3 linked regions of the Mytilus edulis genome follow. The protein of the gene in region 3 interacts with the protein of the main gene of each other region in a biochemical or structural test. Links are inferred from orthologs where the notes say so. Each region holds a gene or a part of one and is shown on either strand. Other genes may lie near its edges. The genes, in order: syntaxin-5-like, golgin subfamily A member 2-like and general vesicular transport factor p115-like.

Region 1 (11,142 bases), on a different chromosome or scaffold from region 3:
AGTTAACATCCTGGTTATTCATCTTTCTAGTTTTATTTTATTTGTATTAAGTCAAACTCCAAATGTCAAAGACAGACCACTTGGAACAAGTGCTATTTTCCAGCTTAAGATTAACATTATTTTTCTCAATAACGATGTTTTGGTAGACTAATACCATATATCCTGTATTTATATCACCTTATCTCTGTCGCAAAGCATCCTACTAACAGTTTTCTTACATTTAAACTCCTAAAAAATGGGCTTAAACCAAAAAAAGAAGAAACTTATAACTGCATTCTTACTGGTTTATAATACTATAATCCCATTCATACAGGAAGTATATAAGTATCTTAATAATTTGTCTACTGACATCATAATCAAATCTTTACATTTGTAATAACAACAAACTCCAAGTATACATGTAAATGTACTAACAATTAAATAATATGAAGACACATTTTATATCCAGTTTGATTAAGGACTCTGGTAAATTATTGAGTCACAAATAAGCTTTACAACATCTTAGGTACACACAATGTATGAATACACATGTTCATAATAAAAAGTGTTCCAAAATTGAATTGACTTAACATCAAGGAATAAGTTGATTTAAGAAATACTGGGTAACATGAAAATTTGTTTAAATTTTTTGAAATTGAATAATTTTTTTTTTACCTTTACAAATTTTCTGGCAACAACTTTCTGAAAGCCAGCATCATCAAAAATGCATTGGAAATACTTGTGACATGAATTAAAAGCTTACTTGTGTGCAAACCAGAAAAATGCAGTAACCAAGTTAATTAAGATGCTATTTACTCAAAGATATATCATGTACATGTATGTCTTGCCTGTCAGCAGAAAATTCAGAAAAAGGCAATCTGATAGACAGCAACATTGCTCATTAATTCAAAGTCCCTGAACCATGAACTAGAGAGTAGTTGACAAATTGATACATGTACATGTATGTACATGTACTGTTAGTAATGCAAATATAGAAAACACCCATGATCTATGAAAAAGAGTCTGAAAGTAATTCCTATCAAACAGACTTAAGCAGAAAAACTTAACACTGTAAATTGCAAAATTAATTCAAAGTTACTAGACTCTGACCTAGAGGGAAGGGCCTTGAAATTGTAGTTGAACTGATTTGACATATAATGTACATTTGTATATAGATATACGCAATGTACTGATATATATAGTAAGGCAACTTTACAGAATATATCATTGATCTATCACAAGTAGTTTTATCAAACTGACATAAACAGAAAAATGAATAATTGTTGACACCCCCACCAGAAAAGCAACTCCTATTTTTCCCCTTAAATGCAGAATTTATCCATAGGCTCCGTCCATAGGACACAGATGATACCCTGCATGCATACAACATAACAAGGGGACATAACTAGAGAACTGTCATGACTGTAATAGTGACACCACCCAAATTAGAACTTGATCTGAGTTTTATGGTTATTTACAAGCATTATGTTTAAAGTTCCATAACATTTGGTTAGGCAAATTAAACATGGAGATTAGAAATCAATTTTTTGATGTAGAGGGTCAAGAGTAATTTTTTAACTTAATTCCCACTCCACCACAATGAGAACACAAAAACTTGGCATTGAGAACTAGTGTCTGCACTCTGGGTTTACACATAGGATTTTTGAAGGCGAGTCCACTGACACACAGCCTCACAGGTTCATGATACTGAGCATACATGTGATTCTTCCGGCGGGAGTTAAAATCTCCCGCTTTTCAGACCCTCTTCCGTCCCTCCCGTTAAAATTTGAAATCTTCCGCTTTTTGAAAATGTCAATCTCGAAAAAATTTCAGTAGACATTTCTGTTTACAAAATTAATACAGACAGGGAATAAGTCCGAGAAACTCTAAATTGATATGGGAAAAGTCCGAGAAAATCGGAAGTTTCCTGTAATGGAATTTGTGTCAAAAAGGTAAATAGGAAAATAGCCTCGAGTAATCAGTGAAGGTGTTAAGGATTAGACTGTATATACAACAATAAAAGATGATTGGCATTTACCTAGTAATCAACTAAATATTTAAATAAACATGTCTGGATGATTAAAAGTGATACTGACAATGGAACAGTTGTATCAACATCGACTTTAATAAATTTTGATGCTGTTGAAAACATGGAACAGATTTAGTTTATACTGAACCTCAAAGACAATAAAATCAACTCAAATATGATATGTCTTCTATCTGGTCCAATACCTAAATAAGTGTGTTTGTCTTATAATTTGACAAATGCAAACTGTATGTTATCACCAAATACTTTTGCCCCAGCATCAAATAAAAGAAGACACAGTATATATCTAGCCAAATTAAGATCATGCTTACTACACTTCATGCAAAGCTGACTATGGTGGCCCTAATTACTTGACCAAAAATATGGAGACAGCCACCAACCAGATAGCCCACAACTTTATCAATTCAACACCTTCTGTTACAAACATGTTCAGTAGTGGTACAAAAGTTGACAATGTGGCTAAAGCAGATATACTTTTTGCCAACTATGTATGATGGCTGATCACTTTATCTTGAACTATATAAAATTATGATGAGTAAATATTTGAATCCCCCTTATCTTCTATTTTACTAAGTTAAAATGGCTATGTAGGTGCTTGTAGGTATGGAATCATTGTTGTGTTTTAACAAAAAAGGAAGATATGGGTCATTTTCAAAAAATGCCGAATTTTGAAATTGAAAAAATTATTAAAAGTTACTTATTCAAACAACCCTCTACATAAGCAAATCAAAACAAACAGTACTTTAAGAACAACATATTAAAAGATGCAATCTTAATGATGTCATACAAAAATATGTTGAAACATTTTTTGATCGGTGGTACATTATTTTGTCTATCCTGTTACCATTTTCAAAAGAAATTTTGGGTTATTAAGAAAAGGTTTAGATAAAATGTTAAGCTTGTTTTACGTAGACAATTAGATGGTTTTCAAGAGAATAAACGTCTATATATATTCATTCTGTAATATAATAGATTATTTGCCAATTTAACAGGTTGTACTGAAAAATGCCTCTAAAAATTGGTTTTCAAAGGTTGTAAAAATTACCACCAGTAATGCAAGTCTAAGATAGCAATTTATATTGTTCGGCATTTTTTCACCCTTTCAAATAAACCCAACATCAAGTAAATCCCTCATAAGTTAGTTTACTTTTCTCTATATTTCATTGGTAACAGGAACGTACGTTTCTGATATATTACTATATAAAAGTCTATCCTGTTACCGATATCAGTATTGCACCTGCGAATGCTTAATTGGGAAGATTAATACGTTATAACCTTAAGATGACTTCAAACAACGAAATATTTCATTCGTTTTGCACCTATATGTTAAGATAAAAAAATTAACGACGTTTTTGTCTACAATTGTCTATCCTGTTACTGTAACCATAGCAACCATAGTAACAGGATAGACATAACAGGATAGACAAATTTCTTCGTTTTTGATTGCTGTTGTGAAATAACTACTCCCTTTGGTGAAGTGATTATGTTTTTCTATTGTGAATTTGGTTTCCAACACGTTATTGCACTTTTTACAAGTATACTGTTGGTGTATTTAATCAAAATTGGTGGTAACAGCATAGACATGAAAAAAAGTACGCTATATTTTTTTCACTAAATGTCTTGAAATTTCTTTTCTCTACACTTTCGTTCAAGAAACGAGGCGTTTTAAATGTAAAGATTACTTTGCACTTTTGAGATCAACACTGACTGATTCAATATTCATAGGGAGAATAATTTCACGGCTGATTTAAGTAGCGGTAACAGGAAAGACATGAACCTCCTGTACGCAGATTCAATTTAGTTTGTAGATAATATGTTACATACAATGATATAGAAGCTACGATTTTTCGTTAGAGTAATATTAAACGTTCTTAAAAAGTCCCTTTTGCAGATATCAAGGCGATCAGAAAATCGCAAAAAAATCATTTGAAATGTGTTTTTCTGACACTGTACGCAGACAAATACCCCCAAAATGGGTCTTAATTGCAGTTTAATCTTATCAAAATAGATGTAAGGTGTGTTTATTATTAATGTTCTGAATCACAAATCCGACAAGCTTTCATTTAAACCATTACAACTGAAATTTCCATTAGAAATAAAAAAGTTAGCATGGGTGTACTGAAAATTCGACATTTTTTTAAAACGACCCATATGCAGTTTAAACATGCAAGAAAAAATCTTGCGTATGTCTATAAAAAGGTCGATAAAAAATCTCCAGTTATGAGGCCCAAACTCCAGCTGAAAATTTCCAAATCTCCAGTTGTGGCTTGACAACTCTGTCACATGTATGACTGAGAGTCTGGAAGAAAATGATGTGTCAAAATTATGATGCATGTAGATGTTCAACACTGTATTGCTATCTTGTGAAGCACTGCTATTTGGTCTTATTTCAAAATAAATATTAAATATAAAATGAAATACCTAACCAACTTTACATAAATCCTGAAATCAGTGAAATCATGAAATGACAGTTCATGAGTTGAGGTGAATGACAGCTGTCAAATAGTATCAAAACAGTGACCAGAACTAATTTGAAAAAAATAATCAAGTGGGAATAGACTTGTTGGGATTAAACTATTTAAATATCATATAGTAAAAGTGGTTCTAGTTACAATAATACTTGAAATAAACAGAAAGTGACTCCTGTTTCTTATGTTTCTTTCCACCACGACTCAAAATAGACGTAATTTCCGCTTTCCTGACGCAAGCGCAACTGTTAGAATGCATTGTGGGTAAGTCTATCCGGCATTTGGTTGTCTAACCGCGGACTGTTCGGACGTGAAAAGACGACTGTCCCAGAAAACACAATTTCCCAACCAATCTAAAGACAACAAGACAGTCAGACACACTACAAAAATGCCTCCAGCCGCAAACAGCCAGGAAATTTATTTAAATGGTTTGTACTTGCTTAGAATATTTAGAAAAAAATTATGAAACATCAGAACAGCTGATGTGTGTTGAGTTATCTCCCTTACAAAATTCGTCTGCATTTTGGAGTGCGAGTGGCCAATATTTCATACATTATGAATCTGCATGTTGAGAAAATAGTTATGACTGATTTTTCCTCTTATGTAAGTACAAAATTGCATGTCTAAATCAATATTTCCTTCCCCATTATATCATAATTCTAGAAAGTAGTTGAGAAAAGTAACTTTTGGAAGAGCCAAAGGGTTTCAAACCTTAAATCATGAGGATTTTTCACTTAAAAAAAAACATGATTGGCATGGGATTCACTGTTATAATATGTTTAATGAGTAACTGTATGTTGATAATTTTAACATTTTAACAATTAAAATTAATTGATAGATTTTCATCCCCGCCCGCCCCTCTGAAATCTTCCTGCCCCGGTTTTTTATAATTTGCAAATATTAGGATTTCCGGATTTATTAATTTTTGTTACCGGTAACCATCTATAATTTCATTTCATTCAAAACTTCCTGTTTCAAATTGCGGTTTTCCTTTTCTCGTTTCTTAGAGTTATCTTACTAATGATTAAGTCAACATATTCTTCTACTCTATGATGACAACATCATCTACCGAAAATAGAGATTGTTATAGAGATGTGCATGAACTATTTGGGTTACGATTAATATGCTTTGTCCAAAAACACAAATCGCGGTATGTCACAAATGTTTGTGATTAGAACACCTTTGATTTTTAGTTTATTTATACAATGACTTTGTGTCAGGATATTTGGCCTGTGAATGATACCCAAAGCGTGAAACACATTGGTACAAAAACCTAGACTGGAATAAAGAAATTGACACAAGCATGAACTTGTTAAATTGATGATCGTATATTGAGATAAAAAAGTTGACAAACATACGCATTTTAGTAATTTATACTCATTTATAGCAAGCCCTTAGATTTAGAATTACCCATGGCTGTCGTCTTTTGTTGACAAACAGCAAATATCCTCTGTCCAAATACCCTCGATAGAGTTATTAAACAACTTCATGTTTTATATTGTAACTATATTTGCATCTTGCATAAGGACCAACCCTATTATTTCAACACTGTTTGAGTTTTCATTTTATTCTATACTTATATTTCATTTTATTCTATACTTATTTTTCATTTTATTCTATACTTATATTTCATTTTATTCTATACTTATATTTCATTTTATTCTATACTTATTTTTCATTTTATTCTATACATATAATACTTGTGTTGCATACAAATGCATTTGCTTCATTTCATTGGGACTACACATGTACCAATGCTTAGAAAGCAACAAAAAAAATTTTGTGTGGGGATTGCAATTGAAGAGAGCATTTCTGTACGTTTTTGCTATTTACTATAAAACATGTAAAATAGGTTTTTAAAGCGGCAATTACATGTAGAACAGTGGTTGCCAATCAGAGATATTTATTGAAAAATTATATATGGAACCTTATGCATGTACATACATGATATAAGTTTTATTACACTTGCATATATATCATGTATATGAAGAACACATCACAAGAGGGTTTCATATGAAATAAAATTTAAAAAATAAAATTCTCCCACCCACCCCATTTTTTTCATAAATTTGGATGAAAATCTACTAATTGATTTTAGTTGGCCTTATAGACACAAATGTTGACAGATTGATTTACTGATTATACTGTAATTATATGAGGGAAGGCAATGCCCTTTACTGTCAGGCGTATACTGTAATTATATGAGGGAAGGCAATGACCTTTACTGTCAGGCGTCAAAATCATTTTGGGCTACCATTAGCATCAAATTTGTTACCATTTTATTGTGAATTATCAAAAAAGCCTCATCATAAGTCATGAGAGGTCCCAAATAACTATCCGATACCTTTACTTTGGAAAGAAATTATCGTGATTTTTTATTGACAAAGAGAATGCACATTTTATCTTCCTGCACCTTTAATTACCGTTAAAGTCATTGGTAAGATTTTTATCCATTATTCATCATGAAGGTTCCCACTGTATGACCCTCTTATTTATGTTTTTAGTGAAAAACTCTATAGAGAAGACATTGTTAGAAAGAATAATGATATTTGATGGCGGAATGGGAACCATGATTCAGCAGCAACGGTTTGAGGAAGAGGATTTCAGGGGTACTGCATTTGTTGATCATCCCAAAAGTTTGAAAGGAAACAATGATTTGCTTAGTTTGACCAAACCAGACATTATTTATAAAATTCATAAGGTATAATTTGTAAATTACTGAATGTTATTTAAGTTGATGCTAATCATGCTAATAGCTTGATTAGATCAGATACAGTTTTAGTACATGTAGGTACATGTACAGGGCTCAGGCTGCTAGGTGACTATGGTTAAGAAGTTGCTTTCCTTAGTTCATCATGATCACCTCACATTTCTCGACATCAATTCACTAGGGTGTTTTCAACACTTGCTTTTGTCATCTGCAATTTTTTATTTAACCTAGTGAAACAACATTTTGTAATTATAAACGACATTCAATAACTTAAACAATTATTTTCTTTGGAAACTTGATGAAAGCATTGACTTGATACAGATTGGTTATATACTGTTTTAAAGAAGAAACAAAAATAGTGATGATTTTGCTCCTGTACCTTACTAAAGAATGTACATCACAACAATCCGATTTTGGCACATTTATTTCTATGGAAAACTTACAACAAAGGCTACCTGGCTTTTTTTTTAATCTTATACAGATATAAGATGATGCTATGCATGTTTCATTTTATTTTCTGATTTATGGATGTTTTATGGTAACATATAGAATAAGATGCAGATGGGCATATCATGTTACTCAAGGACTAATGATACAGTTGTTTATTCAGATACTTTTATTAAATTTAGTCTTCAGAATCGCAAGAATGAATATAGAATTAAATTACATTTGATACTTTACATTTCAGGATTATTTTGAAGCAGGAGCTGATTTCGTTGAGACAAACACATTCAGTGGTACCACCATTGCACAAGCAGATTATGGTTTAGAACATATGGTATGAAATAACTTACTATTTTCCCGATTTATAAGCTAATTCACATACATACACACTGATAATGAGATCTTATTGAACATTCTTAAAGGACACAAAAACTGCACAGAATTAAAATATTGTTTAGCACAACAGCATTTCTGCTTGTATAAACGTTTCTCTTAACTTACTGCTTGTGAGATGTATTCTAATGATTTTGGTGTATGTTCCATGGCACAAGTAAGCCCTGGTTAAAATATTTTGAAAAGTTTATTGTCTTTGTTTACATATTTCTGTTACATTTGCAGTTATTAAATGAGTTATGAAGAAAAAAGCCTATGTTATTTGAAATGGTAAAATTTATATGGAAAGAAATCAGTGTAACAAAAAAGAAATTGCATTTCCTATTTCATTAAAAATCACATTGTTAGATCCTGAATTTGAATTAGATTTTAGAAGAAGGTTAGTGTATTTGGCATTTTATCTGGTCTTGTTTAATGTTGGTTCCAAAAATAAGATTAATACAGTTGCAAAAATTTAACCACTCAGCATTTACTTTTGATATGTTTTAGGTATACAGACTAAATCATGAGTCAGCAAAACTAGCAAAGAGAGCTGCTAATGATGTCACAGCAGCCACAGGTAACAGTAGAATATTTATCATTAAATTCCAGATAAACTAGGGGGATTCAGTCTAGGTTATACTCAGACTTTCCTCTCCTTATAATTTAAATTCAGGTTTTGTTTATCTAAATTTGTAATTAAATTTAATTTATATTGTTGAAAATGTTTAACATACATGTATATTTATGTATACATTGGCTTTCTTTATATCTAAAAATTGCCAGAGCATTTAAGAAAAAAAATTTCCACTTTTTTTATTTCAGGTGTACAGAGGTATGTTGCAGGAGCCATGGGACCAACCAATAGAACCTTGTCAATTTCACCATCAGTAGAAAAACCAGATTTTAGAAATATAAGTAAGTGTTTAGGTATAAATAGGCCATGTTTAGTTATTTTTTAATTCTCCAACTCTGCTTGGTAAGCAAAAAACCTGACACTGACTTGCATTTTTCACCAAGTTGTGTTGAAATTTTGTGTTGTTAAAATTTACCCCTTTCAGTAGTCAAAGAATGATAACTCTAACATTTTCATAAAAACTTTGATTTTTTACCTCCTGATTGTGTGTAGTTTAGACCAATCAAGCATTGGCAGAATAGGGAAAAAAATCCTTTAAAGAGTTTTATTAAGAATTTGAAAGGTATTGTGATGTCATAACGTGAACAGTCTTATGATATTCATTTATAATTCTTAATTGTATGGGTTTCCATATATAATGTGAAAATTTTCTTTCAATGTTATGTTTGGCTTAATGTTTTGTTAGAATTAATGTAGTTTTGCTTTGAATTGCAGCATTTGATGAATTAGTAGATGCCTACTATGAACAAGCTAAAGGTTTACTGGATGGAGGAGCAGATGTTCTACTTATTGAAACCATATTTGATACAGCTAACTCTAAGGTATAAACATGTTGTTACTTGTATCAACATACTTGTTTGAATCACATTGACATTTAATTTAGATAGTTATTAACATAAAAAAGTATAATCTGATTTTTGTATTAAAATGGATATAGAAAATGAAATTTTTGACCTGGGTTACATCCCAGTTATATGGTCATATAAGGTGAAACATATGGAAAACTTCATTTTATTTTGTCAGTTTATAGATTCTTATTAAAGGAGGTCATATTCATAAATAGTCCTAGGAAATTTGAATTGGATGAAAATTGTCAGTAGGTTGAGAGCTGCAATGTTTTCATTATAAATACAATCCATTACTCCATCAAAAGTTATGTTAACATGAATAAGAATCCATTGAATACATCTGCACTCTGGTACAAATTTTCTCCATGACAATATACTATTAGCATTAGGATATGCAGTAGCAATGCAACATGAATACAACATTATTCTTTATTTCAGGCAGCCATTTTTGCAGTAAATAAGCTTTTTCAAGCAGAAAACATTGAGTGTCCAGTATTTGTAAGTAGCCAATAGTCATTGATAGTAGAATATAAAGAAAGTGTTAAATAAAATTCTCTATTATTTAGATACTGTTTATGAAAATGATGTGAATGTGCATTCAGAATAACTGTTATCTTTTAAATATTGACTGTTCATGTATGATATAGTGTATTTACTACATGTTAATGTTCCAGTTTATGGTATAAAATATTATTGGAAGTTTTTAAAGAAATATGTTTTGTTAATGAGACTTTTATTTATGGTCAGGTTTAGTGCTTTCATCATGTTCATCACATACACTTTTCATATAAGACTATATATAATTTATAATGTTATATTTACAGATATCTGGAACCATTGTAGACAAGAGTGGGCGAACACTATCTGGACAGACTACAGAAGCATTTATCATAAGTGTATCACATGCCAATCCTATGTGGTAAGCTATGAATTGGTTTGTGTATGCATAATTCATCATTGTGCCCACCTTAATGGATTACAACTTTTCTTGTTTTGACCTGTTTGGTGTTTGTGCTGCAAATGATGACACATCAGTATGCAACATAGTATTGATGTCTAGTGAAATGTAGGAGGTTAACAAAAATATTATAGAAACCAGGATTAAAATTGGCTTATATTTGTTTCTAAATGAATGTGAATTGTACTTTGTTTACCAATAAAATAGATCAAAAGAGTTTTTTGGAAAATGACGCAGTCATTGTTCCATAACTGCCGACCTGATTTCTCTGCCTACCGCGCTTGGTTTCGTATTTACTAATTTCAATACAAACTGGAGGAATGTGCTTGTGTTATCATTATGCATGAGCATTGTGTAGTAATCAGCCAGGAACCAGTTTACAAACTAACTGGTTTCTGTTTGTATTCCACTACAGTCGAAGAAAGTGTTGTAGTTTGACAGGAACCAGTCCAGAATTTTGTAAACTACAAAACGTAATCGGTTATTATCATTCCGTTTTGGTGTTTCATACCGACTTATATGGTTTGAATAAGCTTAAGACCCTTCAAACATTAATGTGATAGGTATATTAAAGACTGTTTTACAAAAGGATGAAACTGTTTTGCTTTAAAAGTCGTACTATAGTGATATATGTTATGTACGGATTTCCACTCTCACCGGTTAATTTCTTCTTTTACAC
Region 2 (10,848 bases), on a different chromosome or scaffold from region 3:
AATGATTCTATAACTTCATAGCCATTTTTACTTGATAGAAATAGAAGATAAGGGTTTTTTAAATATTTGTTTATTATATATAAAGTTCAAGATAGAGTGATTAGCAATCATATATAGTTGGTAAAAAGTATCTCTGCAGAAAGAGAATGATAGTGAAATTGCTATAACAATGATGACAATATGTATGGATGGTTTGAGGTGAAATAAATGTAAGCATAAATAACCATTTAGAACAACTCAAATAAACAGAGATCTCACTTCTCTGTAATGACTTGATCCCCATTTAATGCTTGTTCATGTTGAGCAGTCTTTATAATGGTAATACTGTATCATGATACTAAACCCATAATGGGAGGAATTGTACTTGATTGTCATATGATGAAGACAGAATATTTCTGTTTAAATGAGGTCTGGAGATGGCATGTCAGTAACTGCTAGTAGTCTTTTGTTTATTTATGCATCATTATCATTTTGCTAAGTTTCTTTTGTTACCTATTCTGACATTGGACTCTCAAGTTCTTTTAAACTGTGTTTTACTGTGCTTATTGCTATGTGTTTCTTTATTCTACATTGGCTAGAGGTATAGGAGAGGGTTGAGATCCCACAAAACATGTTTAACCCCGCCGCATTTTTGAGCCTGTGTCAAGTCATGAGCCTCTGGCCTTTGTTCATTGTTGTTAGTCTTGTATGACGTATATTTTCACTGAACTAGTACACAATATAATTAAGGGACCTGAGCTCTGGTGCAGGATTTTCTCACTACGTTAAAGACCCATAGGTGGCCTTTGGCTGCCCTTCTATGTTGTGTCTTGTGTACTATTGTTTGCCTGTTGGTCTTTTTCTTTTTTAGCCATGGCATTGTCAGAGATTATTTTTGACCTTTTTTAATGCCCCTTTGGTTTCTATTGCCTCTTCTTGACAACTTAAGTTCCGAGATAGTATTAGTTCAGAACATAAGATTATGGGGTGAATGTCATTCAGAGAGCATCCCTACGAATACTTTTATATATTTAATTATCCTGCATCTTAATAGAATAAAATTTTGACACAGAGATATGTTGTGCTTCCCATCAGGAAATTCAGAAAAAGACAATCTAATAGACAGCAGCATTGCTAATTAATTCAAAGTCACTTGATCATGACCATGATCTAGCTAGGGGGAAAGGCCTCGAAATAGTCATCAAATTGTCAGATATATTTGGATAGTAATGCAACATTATAGAAATTATAATAGATCTATCACAAGTAGTTCAAGTTCATGGGACATTAGCAGAAAACTTAACAAGTGTTGACCCATCAGCTGGAAAAGCAAAACCTTACTCAGGCATTTTGCAACGAAAGTCACACGCAAGATAAAAACCTTATTGAGTCCTTTAAATTGTTTAGTTTTAAATGCTTATTGACGTCACAGAATCAAATAGTTAACCAATAGAAACTTGTTGTTTAATTTGTATTTAATTGATTAAATAACTGAACACATTATGGGTACAACTACATGTACTTGGAATCTCAGACTTCATTTAGCCTGCAGTCTCCTTGGTTTAGTAAGAATAATCTCTTGCACCTCAGCACTATAATTTTTGAACTGTTTCTATACATCTATCTTTAAAATAAATATGTCTGTCCATTTTAGGGTTATGATCCTTCTTACAAAAGAATGAAGTCAATGCCATATTGCTTTTGTCAGCGTTTTCATCTTCATCATCATCTTCCCATTTCACTGGGGCTGCATCTTTTTCTAAAATAATGGCTGCCGTAGACCAACTGAACCTAACAAATTGTGGAAAACCAAATACATAGTCCATATTGTTTGCAAGGAAACTTTTAGTGTTAGGATCGGCTGGATAACCTGAGCCATACTGAAGATCTTCTGTATTTATATCTTCTTGGAATTTCCATTTTTTGACAGCCTTATCTCTGGTGACTTTAGCACATATACTGGCTGCACTAACGATTGGGTATAAAGAATCAGCCTTCTTTGCTACTGTTATGTCTATTGATGGGAATATACCTTTTAGTTTCTCTTGGTATTTAGTTGGATCTCCCACTGTATCAACGTAAACTTCAGCAATGTTAGCCCCCCTTTCGATTGCGAGAGCCACCAGTCGGATGGCACAGTCATGTGATAAAGCATTAAGGTTATATTTTGTTCTACGGAGCATGCTAGTTGATATAAAGGTAGGGGAGAGCACTTCGACCATCCATCCAATCATATCATTGGCTTCATTTATCTTATCAAAAATGCTCTCTCTTTGTTCTTCTGTCAAGGTCTTGGAATCAGCAAATCCCATTTCTCCAAATTTCTCCTTCAAGGATATTGGACTAAAACAAATTCCATAAACCATAGGACCAAGTACTGGTCCCCTTCCTGCTTCATCAATTCCCAACCAGCATGGTTCTGACTTGACACAATCTGGCAGTGGAGATTCTAATATTAAATTCTTCATATTATCTTCTTTCTCCAACTTAATTTCCAATTCCTCCTTTACCTCCATTTTTACTTTAAAAATTACTGATATTAAGCAATCGTCTCCTGGATCTGAAGAGAAATCAAAATAGAAAATTTAGAACAGTGCCTCTGTTTGAATATTGTATAACCATTCGCATCATAAACAATCCCCATTGCTGGTCCTATGTTTGTAAAATCAACCTGCATGACATGAACTGTTTAAAATCGGTTTTCTTTGATAGGATTATTCTGATTTATGTCCCTTGCTGCACATTTCAAATATAAATGCATTATTCAAGAAAAAATGATATTTCAGAGCCATTCCTTGTAAATTTTTGTTTTGCAAAATCATCAAACACCAGTCTTATAGCTCATTTTTCAGGTTTATTTATTACCGGTATTCTTAACAGAAATTTCATAACCATGTCTAGGAAAGTTAAGGAAAAATGTAATGTTTCTGGTTTGACCAGACAAAATTAAAAATTTACCCCTTTTGAAATTTTTTTTCAGTCTAACACTTATAAACGACATCTAGCCTTGTGATATTAAAAACTCTAAAGCACAGTTATCGTACTGAGACTTAGAAATCAAATTAGACAATCAATCAAAATACTTGTATAAATTAAAGCAATGTCATTTAAATGCTACATGTATGTGCATGCATGTCACTTTAATTGTACGAGCAACAAATATACATTTTGTACAAACAGAGGCTTCCTGAACAAAACCTTCCATTTTGATTTCTACATATAAATATTTACACTTTTCATTAGATATCTATATACAACTGTCAAAATGTACAAGAAATTCTAATGTTCTTTATTTACAACAATAAACAAGAAATCCTGATACATGTTCTACTTTTACATTTACATTCAATAATAACAGTTCAGTAATTCAGTTTGTCAGAACAATAGAACATTGTCACATAAAATCACATAAACATGTATAATCCTGGTAAAAAGGATAATTTGAAATAAAATCTGGCTTCAAGAAATCATAGCATCACATCATCAACACCATCTAATCTATAAGCATCATATTATCATGATGCTAAAAAGTCTTTGAGAGAACAGTTACTGCAATATTTAAACTGATAAAGTTTTCATAAGCCAATGGTTTCTCTTGACCCCTCATCTTGGAACGTTGTAAAGCAATTTCTAATCACATAAATATACTTATTAAACCAGGTGCTCCGCAGGGCACAGCTTTATCCCCAGTGGTCGAACCCTGAACAGTTGGGGCAAATTTAGTCACAATATTCAAGCTTGATACTGTCAGAATTTGGATTGTGATCAAATTTTTGACATAATATAGGTTTTTGTCACAAAATTAATGTGGTCAAAAATCTAACAAATCTATTGCACAATACTGTGCAATTGAAAATTTCTTCTTGAAACTTTTCAGAATTCGAAATTTAAAAAATTCTGAAAAAAAAGAAATCCCTTTAAAAAATGGTAAAAGCAAAATCCCCCCTCCCCCCCAAACTTTTTGAAACCCCCCTTGGGGCAATAACCCTTAAACTCAATCCCATGCTTTCCTTTGTAGTATTGAACCTTGTAGTACAATATTAGAGAGATCCATACACTTAAACACAACTTATTGTCATGATTGTTTGGAAACTAGAAACATGCATGCTTCTTTTTGGCCCCTTATTCCTACAATTTTGGGGCAATTAACCCAAAACTTAATCCCAGTCTCCCCTTTGTTATATGGTACATTGTGGTACAATTTCAGAGAGATCCATACAAATACACACAAGTAATTGTCTGGAAACTAGAAAATGCTCGTTTTGGTTCTGAATTCCTAAACTTTGGCCCCATAATCCCTAAAATGAATCCAAACCTTCTACTTGTGGTTTTAAACATTGCGGTTTAATTTCAGAGCAATTAAAATACTTGTGCACAAGTTATACTCCTGAAACTAGAAAAATGCTTGTTTTAGGCCCCTTTTGGGCCCCTAATTCCTAAATGGTTGGGACCATCATCCCCAAAACTGATCCCAACCTTCCTTTTGGTGTATTGAACCTTCTGAAAAAATTTCATAAAAGATCTATTCACTTAAACAAAAGTTATTTTCAGGAAACCAAAGTGTCTTCGGACGACGACGACATCAGTCATCATACCATTATACAAGGCCACCCTTAAAATATTGTTTGTTTGGCATTGCCGACCCACACTATCAGCAGGTGGGTAGGTAGGTAGGGATTTTTTTTTTTTTACATTTAAAAGCCTTATACATGTAAATCATGAAGTCTCCAGATCAATGTTGTCTCAAGCATTGCAGCATTGTTGTGTGTACATGCTGGTGGTTTCTTTGAAAGGAGTCAACCATCAATGTCACATTCTACATCATATGGATAATTTCACGTAAGACAGTCAGTTTTATTGGCAAAGTTAACCAAAGTACCCAGAAAAAAAACACAGAACTGAGGCAGGAAACTGACAAATTAACCATATAAAATGTATGACATGAAAATTGAACTTTTATTGTGGGACTGCCCATTGAACAGAGGCCTGATGTCACATCTTGAAGTTGTGGTCACAGTTTGGTAAAATTACCATAATTTAAATGGCTCAACCACTACGGCTCCTTGTACAAATGGACAAAGATTTAAAACTTTGCTTTGGTTTTATAAACATCACTTTCTACACCATATGGGTAATTTCATGGCAGTCAGTTTTAGTGCCATACTAAACCGTAGTACTTGAAGGAAAATGGCAACCTGTGGGAGGAAACTGACTAACCTTATCACATCTGACATGAAAATCAAACCTTAATTTTGCAACTGCCCAACTAGGGCTCAAACCAATACCTGGAGGCTAGTAATCATACATGTAAGGTGTGACGAACTACAATAAAAACATGCCTGATAAGTTTTGAGGATAAAGGATCTGTTCCAAATTAGGATAGCAAAATATCAAAAATTTGGAAGGTTGGCACAAATAGACATGGTGTTTATACTAATATTATCCAAGTGCAAGGTTTTTCAGGGATTTAAAACGTATGATAAATTCAAAATGGAATTATGCAGCAGGACAGACAATTTTTGCAGATAAATAAATTATTGGTTGTAATGCTTGTTTGATTAACAGAAATCTGGACATGCATTACATGAATACAGATAAATTAATGAGCCCTTAGAATTGTGGAAAAAGAGGGGATTTTATTCATCACTAGTACACTGGATTCATTTATAAATATGTTTCTGTCAGTATCTTTTATGTTTTAAGAATTATCTTATTCATGTTAAGAAGAAAGGCAAGAAAAGGGGGAAGTACTTCAATTGACACAAGATGCTAGTCTTTAAAATATGTATGTTTTGTTCCAGGCTAGCATCTACTGGTACAAAACTACTATAAACCTGTAAATCATTATGGTCTTTAAGCTTTGGTGCTTACAGCCATAATTATCTTGAATGCATCATTGTGGGTCTGACTATAGTAGATACTTTGTTCTCTGGTTCAAGGGAAAATTTGTCAATGATAAATTTCAAATATTTAATAAGTTCATCAAATGTAAGAGCCACGCATATTTGTTCTGTGATGTCCCGGTGAAAAACTTCTATCTCATGAAGCGACAAATTCAAGCAGAAATCATCTGTTTCTGCTTTACAAAAGATAAATCTGAGTCCTCTACAAGGTCTCTCAGAACGTTTCTTTCAAAGAATAGCTGAAATTTGAATTTTGATAAAATCCATCTTCCGATCGTCAACAGAGCGTAAATCAACAACATGCGAAGATGATACAGAAAGAGACAGCCATTACCGGCTTATCTTTTTTATTAAACAGTCATAAGTAAATATTATTAATTTTTAAAACAGCGGTACACACATGGTTTAAATATTTTGTGTGTAAGGATATGACCTTTCATTTTTTAAAGCGATCACGTTGACTACACATGTCAACAAAATTAAAAAAAATGGCGGCATATTATTTTATCATGAACGCAAATCGAAAGTACGAAGAAATGACATACCAATGACTTTTATTGTCAAAATTTATACATAATATTAATAATTGAAACCTGTTCACACATTGTGGTAACGTACGCTTTACAGCTTTACGTAATTGATCTAATATTAAAACTGAAAGTAGGTCAGAGTATTTTTCGTTTTCCATGATGCATTATGGCATCACGCGGCCGTAGCAAGGTGATGCATTAAGGCATCATACGGCGGTACCAAGGTGATGCCTTATAATGGCATCATACGCCTTGAATGGGTTTTAACATTGCAGCATAGGGAGATGCCTTCCCCTGCCGGCCTCTTTGATATTACTTTTGGCAGACTTTTTCTATTTCATGTCATTTAAATGTTTGCTCCCAATACAGTGTAAGGCAAGCGCTTTTAAGATCATGATTTGAAATAAGTAAAGCCAGGAACAAACTCGGTGGATACGATCAATTTCCGGCACAATTTCGATATTTTTAAATTAAAAAAAATATATTTCTGAAACGCAAATAAAATTATTTGGGCGGCAAGTTTTTCAGTGGGTCGGGCGGCAATGCCAAACAAATGAAATTTTATTTTAGGCCCAATCCCAAAAATTTTTTGGGGTCGTATAAAAACAAAACTTATATATAAATGTACAAACAAACAAATATTCTATTGCTAATCACAGCACCCGCAACATGCACATGGAGCAGAACAATCAACATTAATTTCATACTAATGATTGTATGATGTACATGAACCTATAATACAATGTATATATTGGACTATAAAAGAAAGTGTACGTTTTATCATAAAAATTACTGGTTCACTTCATTCAGCAAGAATTTTTACCATTGTTCGTCATGTAGGTATCCCCTTTAGGACTCTCATAAAGGTGCTGTTTACATGAACAGTATAAATTTTTGAAATCAAATTAATGTCAAATTAATAATGATAAAATAAATTATTATAATAAATTATAACAAGGATATACAAATCCTTAATTATAAGTTCAAAGTTCTTTATTTCCAATTAAGGGCCCCTGGCGGGACATAATGACAACAATAAACAATACATTCTGATTCTTAACACATAAACATATAATGAAGATAAAATTAAAATTTCTACTGACTGATAACTGTTTAAATTATTTTGGATTTAACAATTTTGAACTGGAGCGTGCTTGATAGAGGCAACTCGTTTTCATATGTTTTATATTAAGTATGAAATTCAAGATATAGTAATGTGGACTTACTTTATTAAACAGCTCAAAGATCTTCAGGGTAAAAATTTGTGGTCTTCTCACTTTCGCGCCATTTTTATCTATGGAAACAGACAGAGATGCTCCGAAAAGCTGTCGTAAACTGTATCTAAACTTCTTTTCCTACAAGGAGTGCAAAACGTTTGATTTTTGAAAGTTAATGTAATTTTTAGTTGTACAAGACTGAAAAAGTTACCTGAAAACGTTTTAAACGTGTAGATTCTTTACAAACTGACTGCGTGTCATGAAAATGCGCACGCACATGCAATATCCGGTAAAGAATGGCCGACACTGCGAAACGGGAGAAAATCGCTGCTGCTAGGAAGAAGGTTATCATCCTATTCCATTATCCCTTTATCACTCAATTTATATATATTGTACAGTAAAGGAAGAGCATTTTTTCCAAATCAAATGACCGATATGTACAGTTTGGTTTCTGTATATTTTCTTTCTTTCTCTCTTCTTTTATTTTGACAGCAGCCGGTTCATCAGTTCGTTTATGCACACAATAATAAAAAAATAAGCTTTATTTAGAGTCGGCAAATAAAGAAAACATCAGCTCAAATGAGCTGATACATGTTATTAAATTAATAGGGACTGTCTGTTTGCTGTGATATAGTATTAATCAGCATAACTGATATGATCATTAAGGCAAAATGAGCTGGAGCGTAGGAGCCTTGGTCCGCAACTTGGTGGTAAAAACAGTTAATCAACAGTGATCAATTCTAGCACTTCTGCAAATGTACAAGACAGACGCCTCGAAACATACCTACCAACCCTCTGAGTCTTGTTTTGAGTAGGATACCCCTGTGCAAACGACGAAATTATATCTTGCTTTTATATTTTGACCTAGAATAACCGAAGATTGTATTTCTCATGACTTATTCATTGATTTCAATATAGAAATAAACCTAACAATCAGCAATCATTTGAAAACTTAGGTCTGACAGAATTTTTAATGTCCCTTCCATATATAATTAGGAATCACAATTCAGTCCTGCTATGTAAGGGAGCTACCATTTGATTTTTATGGGGGGGGGGGGCTAGGATGAAATTTGAAAAAAATAGGCAGGACAGGAATTTTGATTAAAAAAAAAAGGCAGGATGAGACACTTGCAAAAAAAAAGTCAGGATGACAATTTAGGTTAACAAAGTCAGGATAAACTAAAAAAAATGCAGGACAGAATAGAGTGAAAAATAAAAAGGCAGGACAGAGATTACAACTAAAAAAAAATTCAGGACAACATTTTTCATCCTAGCCCCCCCCCCCCCCCATAAAAATCAAATGGTAGCTCCCTAATGTAAACTCCAGTCCAATAAGATAGAGGTCTGTCTAGATCAAGCGGCAGAGTAAAAAAGATATAGATGAATGCAAATCCTAATGTCGAGCAGATTTGAATGATTTATTTTAATTTTTATGACCAAGTTCACTAGGCAATAAATCTTTTTTCAAATCATTGAATTTCTGCTGGTGGTCTGTTCGATGTTTGTAAGCGTGCTTGTAAATAGTAAAGAACTCATATATATATATAAAGAAATCAAAATATGGAATATTATGAGCTATGAGACTTGAACATTGTAGAAGGTGTTGAAACAGGCTGAAAACCCAAGCTTGTATAGATTATAACAGTGAATCAAAGAAAAAAGTATATTTATTTAACTTTTGTTGGAGTTTTGTAGAAACAGGTCATATACAAATGTATTTAACTTGAAAATGTCGTTCATGCAAAATCTATGACAAAGCAGGGGAGATCTCCCTCTTTAAAGGTTTCAGAGGTTGACTGGTATGCTGCTAAATATATACTGAGCAGTGGGAAATTGCATTTTAAGACATATTGGTTACAATTGAATTGTCCATACTATTTTATATTGTGTGTGTTTGTGCATTAATTGGGTTGACAGGTGTTTTGTTTTGGAAAGGAATTTTCCTAAAACTTTCTACAATACAAATTACTGTTCTGGAACATGCGATTTTATCTGCATATGGACAAATGTATACAGCTAGGTTAGAGAAGTTTGGGGGAAAATTCCAAAGGGATTGATTGATATGCAGCAAAAATTTACAAATTAAATTGTTATATTCATGAAAAGAAAATAATACTTTATTGAATGCTCTCGTGACAGGAGCATGAGTCGACTCACTAACCATGCTAACTAGAAAACATAAATGTGAAAAGAGATATTTAATTTGGAACTTAGTGAACTGAAAGATTATTGGTTTTGACTGGCATATTATAATTAATTAAATTGCAGTAATGAATGGATAAATTTTATATTTCTGTTTCAGTTGAACCAGTTTAAGAAGAAAACTGGGAAAACTTCTCCAGCAAATGCTAAAAAGTCTAAGATTAATGACGAAAGTACACAGAACCCAGAAAATGAAATTAAGCATACAGCTGAAAACACATTCCAAAACCTAAATGGTAATTCTGCAACAGATATAATCCAGGTAAAACACTTTCAAGACAAACATTTGTACCTTGTTATTCTAAAGCAGATAAGATCTGAGTAAAACATATTCTATCTGTAATGATGTAATTAATGTTTTTGTAATAGATACATTTACTGATAGGACATGTTTCAATTTCAGTATGTAGTAGATTTTTTTTTAAATTATGAATAAAACAAAATTTTCTACATTAGATATTAGATATTCTTTGAGAGAGCAAATATTTCTTATAGATTTAATATTTATTGTATAATTCCTCACTAGCATATATATCCAAGTAATGCTCACTTGTCTACACTTGTTAGTCAACCAACAATGACAGTTATTAGATGAATACCTGTATGTTATTAAAGAAGTTTAGTGTTATTGTAGAATTTTATAAGTATGTAAAAAAAGTTATATACATTTGTATTTACATTTGCTTGTATGTGTGTAGATTTAGTAATCTGAAAGTCTCCTATTTAAATTCAGACCAAAGATTCTCCAGACTCCATAGAAAACAGAAAAGATAGTGAAGATCTAAAGTAGGTTAAATATACACCAAACATCCTACAATATGTACAATGTAGATATTTCATATGATTAAAAGTTTGCATCCTTTTTTCTTTTTATAGACATATTCAACATATGTGCATGTAAACACACAAATGAACATACTGTAAACCAACTTATTTTCGCGGATACTTTATTTCGCGTTTTACCAATTCTAGTCCGTTTCGCGCCTTTTAAAATTCGCGATTTTCTTATTTACTTGA
Region 3 (11,852 bases):
TTCCTGGAAATAAAATATAATGACTTTCTACAGCAAAGAAGATTTTAGTTCAAATTACAAAATTACAGAACTACGGTTTTATCTTGAACACTAAATTAAAGCCATTGTTTTACTCTATTATATTTAAGTAGATTCTATATTTATCTGCAGTTTCAAACAATTAGATATATATGTAAGGTAGCAATAATATAAAAGTGACCTTTTAGATCTAGTGTTTTATGATGGGGCAAAAAATTGTTTTGTAAACAAAATGTGGATGCATACATAATCAAATTTCTTACCTCTAGCATAGATAATAGGAGAGATATATTACTGGGAGTCTTTGTAAATATTTCTGTAAACTGAAGTCCAAGATCAGTTTGTACTTGAATTGGCGTCTCATCATCTGGACAATAAAAAATACAAACAATTAAATGAGCAGTGTTAAAATTGCATTTATCCCACCAACAGAAAATACAACAGATAAGAGGAAATCACTAGTGCAATAGTATATCACAGTAGCATGGGTTCGAATCCCGGCGAGGGAAGAACAAAAAATTTGCGAAAGCAAATTTACAGATCTAACATTGTTGGGTTGATGTTTAGACGAGTTGTATATATATATATATATTTTATAAGTATGTCTGAGTCCGTGACAACTCTACAACAGATGTATATATATATACGACTCTACGAGTCTAAATTGAAAACTACGTTCAAACCTATGATTGAGTTGTAGAAGGGTCTAAAAACAGCACAAACAACATTTTCCAAAAGACCAAAAAAGTGAATATATATATATATCAAAATTAAATTAAAGGGGGATAGTGGTAGGATAAATAAATATTCTCATATTTCAAATTTAAAAACTGCAAAATTACATAACATACAGATCACAGACATCAACATTTTTTTTTTAAATATTTTACAATTTAAAAAAAATATCACATACAAATGGATATAAAACAAACAGCAAATCTAAGACTGCATTTTTATATCTGAACTAGAGTTCGACTGGTTCAAATATTTTTAGGAAGCCCTGATATAGATGCAAATTAACTATTGACCAACTAAATTAGATTTTTTATAAATGCATCAACCTGTTGCACCAATTCCTTTCATATTCAATAAAACAAACATTTATCCAAAAATATTTTGACAAAACATGGATTACCTTCTTCTGACGGTTCATTGGACATGATGTTACATAAGGCATCTAAGGCATAACCTGTAATCTCTGCATCACTCCTACAATTACAAACAGTATATTATATTTTAGAACAGATTCTAAAGTATCGTTCTTCTTAAGCTTTGGGTACAAAGCCATGTTCTAATTCAAATAGAACATTGGCTGCACATGATTGAAGTCACAATTGAAATTGCAACGTCAGATGAATTTTGAACAACGCCAGAGATCCAAATGGACATTTATGTTAATGTTGCTCACTAGGCAATTAAATGTAAACATTCTAAAAGTAAGTTTAAATGTTTCTGTTCTTTTTTATTGATAAACTGCTGATTTTCTATAACGTTTTTGGTTCATGAAATCAAAATGGAGACATTCTGAGCGTCTACTATAGGTCAGCTTCGAAGTGAAAAAGTTCAAATATTCCTATTAGAATCGAAATAATTCTATCCTACCATGCTCTATGCTCATTTTAACATGGGTAGGCATTATATTTGAAAACATTTAATACCTAGATAACCCTGGGTATTAAGATATTAACAAATATAATGCCTACCCATGTTAAAATGAGCATAGAGCATGGCAGGATAAAATTATTTCTTAAATAAAGAATAGTCATTATTCCAAATAAGGGTCATCATGGTCATTAATGGCCAATATAGTTTTCTTAACAAAATTGCAAGCAAATTGTTATACTAGAGCCATAAACATGTCAAAGTTTTCAAAGATACCAGGATTTAATTTAATACGCCAGACGCGCGTTTCGTCTACATAAGACTCATCAGTGATGCTCAGATCAAAATAGTTATAAAGCCAAACAAGTACAAAGTTAAATGTTGTCTTTTTTTAAGTTTCAATATAAATGATCAATGATGTCTCATGAATTTTGTATCATATACTATAGTCATACCAACCTGTCAGTTTCCAATGTTTTTATGAGTATTTCCATTGCTTGTGTCCCAACCTCCAGTCGAAATTTCTATAAAAAATGTAAATTTTGTTTCAAGTAAATAAATATTGCACTTTGTTCCTAGAAAATAAAATTCTTGTACATTTGTTAAATGTCATTTTCTTTTTCCCACTTTTTCCTGTTAAAGGAATTTTTCAAATCTTTTTAAAATCATTATCTTAATTTTAAAATCACAATGATTCAGATCAGTATCTCTTAAATCCAACAAATAATAATTATGACCTAATAGATATATTTTTCTGAAAGATAAAAAAATTTAAGACACCAGACTTAATTGGAAGAAATTTATAGCTAGAATTGTTTGTTTTGATTTTGATACCAAAAATAAATAAATCGTTTGCCACTCTTATTACATTGTACCTTAGACATTGCTTTAAGTGCTCGGACGGCATCTCGTCTATCATCCAGTAATGTTGAAGATTGAACTCTGTCCACTAATCTTTCAACCTAAAAACAATATATTTTTGATTCATTAGTAAGTGTATTTAGAAATATAGTTTTGTGTTTAAAGTGGGTACTAATGGCTTTGTACATTTGTAGTTTAAATCTATATATACAGGGGCGCATTGCATTTGCGCCAATTTTTTAAAAATCCAATCTTTCATTTGCGCCAAACATTAAATACTTCATTTGCGCCATTTTACAGGTAGTAAAGGAAACGAACATTCGTCGCTCTATCGTGAATTGATTAAGATTTGTTTTTACAGTATTACTGAGAGTCACTTAGGTTTGAATTTATATAGTGTTCACATTTTAGATGTGTCAAGATGGACATTGTCAATTCAGAGACAAACCAAGGAAATAAGTCTTATCATATACATGTATGATCTGAAAAATTAAGACAAGTCATTAAGGTGTCCCAAAAAACTTGCAAAGGTTGAATAACTTGTAAAGACAGAATACCAACTGACAACTAAACAATTATCAAAACTTTGAACGAACGCAACCATGGGGTACACCAGCAGAAAGTATAATATCAAAAACGCATTGAAAGGTTTATTTATGGTTTTATGATGACTGATTTCTGAGGAATATGTTTTGACTAACAAGAACTTTATCAACAGGGTTTTTGAAAGATTTTTTTTTTATCAATATCTGTATTAACCTGTATCATGCGTATTTACCTGAAATATTGGCGCAAATGAAAGTTCAATTTTTGGCGCAAATGAAAGATTATTTTGGCGCAAAAGCAAAGCACCGATATACAGCCTTCACAGACTAAGGATGCATTAGTACTTAAAATATTGTATAAGACACCTGTCTATTGATGAACTAGAGGCTCTAAAGAGCCTGTGTCGTTCACCTTGGTCTATGTGCATATTAAACAAAGGACACAGATGGATTCATGAAAAAATTGTGTTTTGGTGATGGTGATGTGTTTGTAGATCTTACTTTACTAAACATTCTTGCTGCTTACAATTATCTCTATCTATAATGAACTTGGCCCAGTAGTTTCAGTGGAAAATGTTAGTGAAAATATACAAATTATATGAAAATTGTTAAAAATTGACTATGAAGGGCAATAACTCCTTAGGAGGTCAATTGACCATTTTGGTCATGTTGACTTATTTTTAGGTCTTACTTTGCTGTACATTATTGCTGTTTACAGTTTATCTCTATCTATAATAATATTCAAGATAATAACCAAAAACAGCAAAATTTCCTTAGGGCAGACAGATCTATCCTCATAATTAATTTTACCCCATATCAGATTTGCTCTAAATGCTTTGGTTTTTGAGTTATAAGCCAAAAACTGCATTTTACCGACGACAAGTTTGCCTTTGATGATTTTTCCCTGCTTAGCTCAATTTTTTTTAATAGTGTTCAATGTTTCATCTCATTAATTCAACAAAGAAACTGATTGCGCAAAGATCTAAGTATTTGGGCAAGGCCTTCAAAAATTGCTCATAACAGACAAATGGGATTTTCATTGTCCATGAAATTACACTTACATTCCGACTTTCAATAGACGACCAATCAGTGACCTGAATTTACATGAACTATATTTAGTCACAGGTAAACACTGATTTGACATCCTTGTTTATCGCGACCGCGACTTTGATGCAATACATTTTAAAAAGATTTTTCTTTTTGAATTTAAATTTTTGTCTGTGAAGTAGCCAGTACTTGGAGTCACGGTAAATTGCTGATTTTTGGTCAGTCAAGAACTTGCTTTCAATTCGCCACCTGGGCTACCACAACTGAGTAAAAAGATCGCCCAGGTCAATTTCTGGTCGCCATTGGCGACTGGACGACCGTTAATTTTTTTCCCTGGGCAGACAATTTAAAATTCTATTAGAGCAAAGAAATCCTAAGAACTTAAGAAAAGAAGAAAGGATAACTTTTGTACCTATATATAGGTAATTAATCGGAATGTCTAAGGGACATAACTAAGCCATATTTTTTTTTACCTATACAAGTAAATAAAATTCACTTGTATAAGTATATTAATATTACTTCTATAAGTAAATAAAAATAACTTGTACAAGTAGTACCCCTGACTGAAAAATATGACGTCATAACAGAAAATAACGTCAAAATGGAAAAGTTATGATTGTTGTAATGACTGTCAGTGTCAGGAATATGTAAATTAAGGAAGAAAACGTTACATGCTATAATAATACACCTTATCGCTATTTGTCTGCCATTACTGAATATCACACGGGTTCCCGTAAAATTTTGACGTCACAAAACAAAATATCTGACGCTACAATGGAAAAGTGATTCAAGCGGCCGGGTCAGCCAGGATTAGCGATAAGGTGTATGTTATCGATCTGTTTTAAGCCCATGTATAAACATGACCCGTCACAAAGTTACACTACAATATAAGAAACAAGTGACATTCCAGCGTTGTGTTCACGCCATATTTAGCATCACAGATTTCCAAAATGAAATAGCGATAAGGGTAAGGTAAGGTGTATGGTACACTCCCCCCCTTTTTCCTCCCTGTGTCAGGGTTGAACCCGAAACCTTCAGTGCAAACTCTAACAGTCCTAACCACTAAGCCATACACTCACGTATATAATTGATACTTAAATATGATATAACAACATATTTTTTTCACAAAATTATTTAGGGGGTTGAGCCGGTAACAGCCGTTTGCAAACAGTTGAAGTACAGGGTGATAGCGTTATTAGACTTTTTCTAAATTTGCTTAAGATATATGTTATTCATTTTCTACTAACAGTATCTGCTCCTGTGGGTTGTACGCCACCCTGTGAAGGACCTAAATATTTTCGAAAATAATCCATTTTGTGATTCGTGGCTTCCGGAGTGTGCGCATGCGTATTAAAACGTGGCAATCTCGCAGTAAATAAATATAATAGTATGTTTTGTTTATAAAGGATTTAATAAACCACTGAACGAATGTTTGTATCGAAAGATACTCTAAAGTGTCTTTGAAATATCTGAAAAAGAATTAATTCGAACTGAATTATCTACTTTCACTTTCTACTATAGAGTGCTGATTTTACTGTTGACAAATTTAGAAATCAACACTATACAGAATAATGATGCATGAAAGATTTACATCCTGTTTTTGAAAGCCGGCTATAATATTTGTGTGACGGTATTATTGAGGTAATATATATATAATCAGTCTTACAGAGAAAGTATATCTGTCTATTAATGGCATTATAAATTTAGAGGCTGCATAGCCATAAAACTACTGAATTTCCAATTTTACTAATTGTGCTAGGGAGGTCAGCTAAATTATGAAGTATAGGGAAATTCATTGGTGCCAAAAATTTTGGAAATAGTCAACTGGTTTTAAAGTTCGGACCATTTTGATTTCCAAAATTGTCGTTTTTGTGAAACCTGTGACTTTTGTCGCAGAAAGCTAGACATGGATAGTGATCCGTCAGCGGCTACTACGGCATTAGCTTACTTCTCAAAAGCTTTATATTTTAGAAGGTGAAAGACCTAGATGCTTCATACTTTGTATATAGATGCCTCAGAATACGAAGTTTCTGTCTGTCACATGTCTATTGTCCTTGACCTCATTTTCATGATTCAGTGACTACTTGAAAAAATGTTTTTGTAATGTTAAGTTTTCTCTTATTATGAGTAATAGGATAACTATATTTGGTATGTATGTACCTTGCAAGGTTGTCAGTCCATACAGACAGTTTTCACTTGACCTCAAACCTCATTTCATGGATCAAGGTTAAGTTTTGGTGGTCAAGTCCATATCATATAGGTGTAGTATATTCAGTGTATCTGACCTTGACCTCATTTTCATGGTTCAGTGGTTATAGTTAAGTTTTTGTGTCTTGGTCTGTTTTTCTTGTACTGTGTCCTGTATGCAATAGATCTAATACATTTGGTGTATGGAATGATTATACATGTTAAGTGAACATGTCTAGCTGGCAGGTGTCATCTGACCTTCATGACCTTGAACTCATTTCCATGGTTCAGTTGTCAAAGTTCAGTTTTTGAGTTTTTTTATACTGTATGCTATACATAGGTCAACTATATTTGGTGTATTTCTTGTGGATCTGATATCAAGAAAATTCCTTTCATTCAGTAACAGTTGATAATAACTTTATTTTTCAGTATTTTTTAATGTTTTGAAAACTTATTACTTGATCACATTGTAAACTATGTTACTTTTCAGCACTAAACTTCCAAAGCTAGTGTTTAAATATTCTTCTTGTATTAAAATCTAGCAATTATACTCTCATTGTTCATCCCCATCTTTAGTTATCATTATTAATATAATAGTATATATCACTAGTAAGTTATTTCACTCTTAACCACAGTTATTCAGCATATCTCCATATATATATATATATAGCAAATAATAACCTATACAATTGGTAGTATGGAGAGTTGTCTTCAGCAGGACTGGTAGCAGCTTTAACATTCATACAGGCATCAGCAGCAGCAACATTACTCATTATTTACAGCTTAAAATATATAATGTATGTCTGATAGCATTTTCTTTCATTAGAAATACACAACAGGTGAGACATTTGTGTGTGTCCACTTTTATTTGCAAAGGCTCAAATATCATATTTTTGGCAATTTTTTAGACCAAATAATACTATTGGGTTAGGAACAGCAAGATATCTATCTGCTTTATTGCAAGAACACTCTGTTATGCTTTGATTTAAGCCACTCCAGTCCTAAGTAACATCAATATCTACAACATCTCAAACTTAAAAAAAAAAAATTCAAAGAAGCGATTGAAAATTTGGAAGGAATTAGTTTTTCATACAATTACTATTGGCAATATTTTTCTTTCAAAAACTGTGAAAAAAAATTAATAAGATTTTCAAATATGACTCTTAAAACTATTTGTTATTAAATTATGAATAGAAATGTTGGTCATATTTGGCAAAAATGTTGATAGACACTAGATGGATAAAACCAGAGAATCCAGAATATATAGAAGTAGATACATTTGAACCTAGTCATTTGAACTGTGACGCCTTGCTCAGTTAATTTACAATAGCAGGTTATTGTTTTATTGATCAGGTTAAAGGCAACTTTCCCATCATTGGCTTTAAGTTTCATGGTTTTGTGTTGCACAGACAACATGTAGATAATAGCCAATTAAACAATTATAGGTCAAAGTATGGCCTTCAAGACGGAGCCTTGGCACACACAGAACAGCAAGCTATAAAGGCCCCAAAAATGACTGGTACAAAACCATTCAAACCGTAAAACCATTCTATATAGAAACAAGAAACACTGACTAATGAACCACATCAACAAACGAAAACCACCGAACATCAGATTATGTTGTTCTATAATGATTTGTGGATATTGCAACATAAGGTGTTTATTTTCACTTACTTGTTCATTTTTTGAAACTGACAACAGTCAACAAATTTGAAATAAAATACTTGCTTTCAGAAATAAGCTGATTAATTTATCATGTTTATCATGTTTATGCTTATAAATTGTCTCGATTGATGGAAATTGCAAAAATAAAGTAAACATTTGAACTGTTGCACAGTGTAATCATGGTAATCAGAAGTGATTACACTAATTACCCTGAAATCAAGTGATCAACAGACTAAAGACCATCAATGGGGTTAATTTGGCCTTAGGAATGACACTCTAAGAAAACTGTGCATAAACAAATGCTATAGACATGTATAGAAGTACATGTACCTTGAATTGTAAAATTAATTCTGATCAAAAGCAAGCCCATGCAATATAATATTAAAATTTTCTGTATGAGAATTATGAGGATATAAATGATCATATTCATCATAGCATATATTCACTGGAAATCTGACTGTTATTGTTCAAAATATTTAAAAAAAAATTAAATTAAAAGATTAAAATTCGTTCAGTTTAGGTTTTTAAAGGGGAAGTCTAGCTACAAGATTTATTAAAAATCTAATATATTATTTTAAGCAGCCAGTATGGTTCAATTTTGTCAAAATAAGCTAAAAAACATTGATTATGGGTTATTCACTTGCAAGTGAATAATTCGACCTCATTGAATACGTATTCATGTGAACTTCAATATAACCCCTTTGCTTGAGATGGATAACACGTGAATTGTATGTGTAAAGTTCTTTAAAGAAGAAGAATGTCAACATATAAAGTGAAACAAAGGTAAATCATTTGATTGGATGATTCGATCCACAAAAAATCATTCTTATACAGGTAAAAACGATGATTGAAACATTTATTTTTCATTTTTATTATGAAATTAAATAGACCTAGAAAAATCCAAGTTTACTCAATCTATTTATATCTATATTTATGTTTAAATTGCTTATATGGTCATCGGATGACTTCAGAGGTCAACTCAATAGTTAATTAGGTGGTGTCTAGACCAAAATACACACAAAGCGAAGCTACATATTTTCATGCCTGTGCCCTGCTTATTGTTTATTTTACACTTTTAATAGTTTGGATAAATCTTTTACATTGTTATAAATCAAATATGATAATTTGATTAAGATCTGTGAACATGAATTTGACAGCTAGTGCCCCTTTAAAGCTTAAATGGGTACAATCCTGCATGCAGTTGTCGATCATAGTGCATTTGCTGATATTTGAAGTCTTCTTTAGATTATATGGCATGACTATATCTATGTTGTAAAACCTACATGTATGGGTATCTTTTCATGTCTTGATTTGGACAACAGTTGTGTTGCTATATTTCCTTGGACACTTGTTGATCCACGAAAACAATGAAAAAAAAGATTTATGCAAAAATAAAACAAATTGTTGGTGCTTGTTTAAAAGTTTATTTTCCATTGAGAGTTTGTTTAAGCCCAGGTACCATCCATATATTTAGTGTTTACAACTACCTTTATCTATTGTTAGACATCTGATCACTGTTTTATTGATGTACTGAATTTGATCAAAATTTAAACATTATGGTAATTAGTGTTATCTTCTTTAGGTCTTTAATAGACAGTAGGCCTTAGGGTTAATAACCTGCTTCAAAGAATTTTGTATACATGTTTGTATTTTATGGGTTAAATATATATGCAAAAAGAAGAAAGATTTCATCTTATCTCTTTTCTACCATAATCATTGTCAAGTACAGTGGAATTAGGAAGAAAAGACAGATATTTATTTTTTAAAAGGTAAATAAAGTACATGACATACTTGTGGAAAATCGTCGTCCGAAGACATTTGGTTTTCACCCTATAACTTTAGTAAAAGTAAATAGAAATCCATGAAATTTAAACACAAGGTTTATGACCATAAAAGGAAGGTTGGGATTTATTTTGGGAGTTTTGGTCCCAACAGTTTAGGAATAAGGGGCCAAAAAGGGCCCAAATAAGCATTTTTTTTGGTTTTCGCACCTTGGTGAATAACTTTAGTATTAGTAAACAGAAATCTATGAAATTTTAATAAAAGGTTTATGAATACAAAAGGAAGGTTGGGATTGATTTTGGGAGTTTTGGTCCCGACAGTTTAGGAATTAGGGCCAAAAAAGGGACCCAAATAAGCATTTTCTTGGTTTTTGCACTCTAACTTTAGTATAAGTAAATAGAAATCTATGAAATTTTAACACAAGGTTTATGACCACAAAAGGAAGGTTGGGATTGATTTTGATAGTTTTGGTCCCAACAGTTTAGGAATAAGGGTCCAAAATTAAACTTAGTTTGATTTTAACAAAAATTGAATGGTGAATCTTAACACTTAGATTTTTGATTATGGGCCCAGTTTTCAAGTTGGTCCAAACCGGGGTTCAAAATTAAACTTTGTTTAATTTCAACAAAAATTGAATATATGGGGTTCTGCAATATGGTGAATCTAACCATGTATTTAGATTTTTAATATTTGGGCTCTGTTATCAAATTGGTCCACATTGAGGTCTAAAGGGTCTAAATTTGAACATTATTCGATTTCATCAAAAATTGAATTCTTGGGGTTCTATGATATGCTGAATCTAATGTATTTAGATTTTGGATATTGGACCATAATAGTTAAATGTCCAATTTAAAATTTTTAAGTTTTTAAGTTTAAGTTCTTAGACCACATTCATTCTGTGTCAGAAACCTATGTTGTGTCAACTATTTATTCACAATCCAAATTCAGAGCTGTATCAAGCTTAAATGTTGTGTCCATACTTGCCCCAACTGTTCAGGGTTCGACCTGTGGGGTCGTATAAAGCTGCGCCCTTCGTAGCATCTGGTTTATTTAAACATTAAAATGATATGAAGATGTATTGATTTTAGTTAAATACAATGTTCAGCAAAAAAATGTTCAGTGATTAACCGTTTTAACATTTTTCAGCTTCACTTGGCAAATATATCCAGTTGTAAAATGTTACCAGTATACACCGTATACATGTTATAGTATATATAAGCTCTCACAGGCTCAGGTAAGTTGATGCTAGTGTGTATGATAGAAATAAATGAATTTAAGCATCACATAAAAATTTAACAAAAACAATAATGTTAACAATTGAAGTTCTTAACTTCTAGGTTCTAATAAATTTGTTTTCCTATAGATAAAAAAAATATTGGTTAATCAAAGTTTACAGATTTATTGATATATTTTTTAATGTTTTGCTGGTAAATTTGAACGTAAAAACTTAACTTTCATGATTTTTTTAAAGCAAAATGAATGAGTCTGACACAATTACTATGAGGAGAGAGCAATACCATGTGCAAACATTTATCAGTAAAAATACTTTTTGAGAAATAGAGTATTAAAAATACATTTCAGACTTAAACTAGGATTTCAAATCTACTTTAGCGACTGGATGATAACTGTTTAAAAGGATATATTATAAGAAAGGTTTTCTGATTTATTTTCTTCTTAATTAAATGGCTGTAGTAGACATAATGGTCAAAAGCATTCATTAACTTATGGTTGTATTGTAGATTTCACAGAACAGCACAAATTTAGATGTAAACATTTAGTTGAAAAATCATCCAAAAAACACATTGCAGATAACTCCTAGTCCACAATACTTTAAAGACCTTGTTGTACTATTCTGATGTTACAGGTATAGGTACATGTATAGTTACATGTATATTGGTGTATAGCATTGATTGATAATGTACTGGAAACTAAATCTTAGTGTTAACTAGAAATTATATGGTACAACTTTTTAACCAAATAATAGGGTGTGAGTTGTGAACATTTGATTATAAAACATATCCAATTACTACACGTATTGATCTTGACACAGCAGGTGCTACAATACTTTTTTTTATATTTGCAGGAATAGGCAGCATATTTTTGAACTAATCCAACAAACATTTTGACATACATTCTCAGGTAAGG

What was found.
Region 1: the proteins of general vesicular transport factor p115-like (region 3) and syntaxin-5-like form a complex in vitro, tested with the Homo sapiens proteins (2 studies listed by BioGRID). The link is inferred for Mytilus edulis from reciprocal best matches to the Homo sapiens genes USO1 and STX5.
Region 2: the proteins of general vesicular transport factor p115-like (region 3) and golgin subfamily A member 2-like form a complex in vitro, tested with the Homo sapiens proteins (2 studies listed by BioGRID). The link is inferred for Mytilus edulis from reciprocal best matches to the Homo sapiens genes USO1 and GOLGA2.

The regions. Positions count from the first base shown.
Region 1 is NC_092346.1:73,715,369-73,726,510, reverse strand, and holds the start of syntaxin-5-like, read right to left. Parts: upstream 4,742-11,142; 5' UTR 4,639-4,741; intron 1-4,638. Other genes in the region: methionine synthase-like, read left to right, coding at 4,883-4,922, 6,999-7,195, 7,893-7,982, 8,531-8,600, 8,846-8,938, 9,372-9,478, 9,944-10,003, 10,330-10,424. UniProt on the Homo sapiens protein: Mediates endoplasmic reticulum to Golgi transport.
Region 2 is NC_092345.1:23,876,992-23,887,839, reverse strand, and holds the start of golgin subfamily A member 2-like, read left to right. Parts: upstream 1-7,848; 5' UTR 7,849-7,925; coding exon 7,926-7,973; intron 7,974-9,931; coding exon 9,932-10,093; intron 10,094-10,564; coding exon 10,565-10,617; intron 10,618-10,848. Other genes in the region: ribonuclease H2 subunit A-like, read right to left, coding at 1,572-2,495. UniProt on the Homo sapiens protein: Peripheral membrane component of the cis-Golgi stack that acts as a membrane skeleton that maintains the structure of the Golgi apparatus, and as a vesicle thether that facilitates vesicle fusion to the Golgi membrane.
Region 3 is NC_092352.1:26,331,276-26,343,127, reverse strand, and holds the start of general vesicular transport factor p115-like, read right to left. Parts: upstream 5,588-11,852; 5' UTR 5,387-5,587; coding exon 5,321-5,386; intron 2,583-5,320; coding exon 2,496-2,582; intron 2,145-2,495; coding exon 2,080-2,144; intron 1,228-2,079; coding exon 1,154-1,227; intron 386-1,153; coding exon 282-385; intron 4-281; coding exon 1-3. UniProt on the Homo sapiens protein: General vesicular transport factor required for intercisternal transport in the Golgi stack; it is required for transcytotic fusion and/or subsequent binding of the vesicles to the target membrane.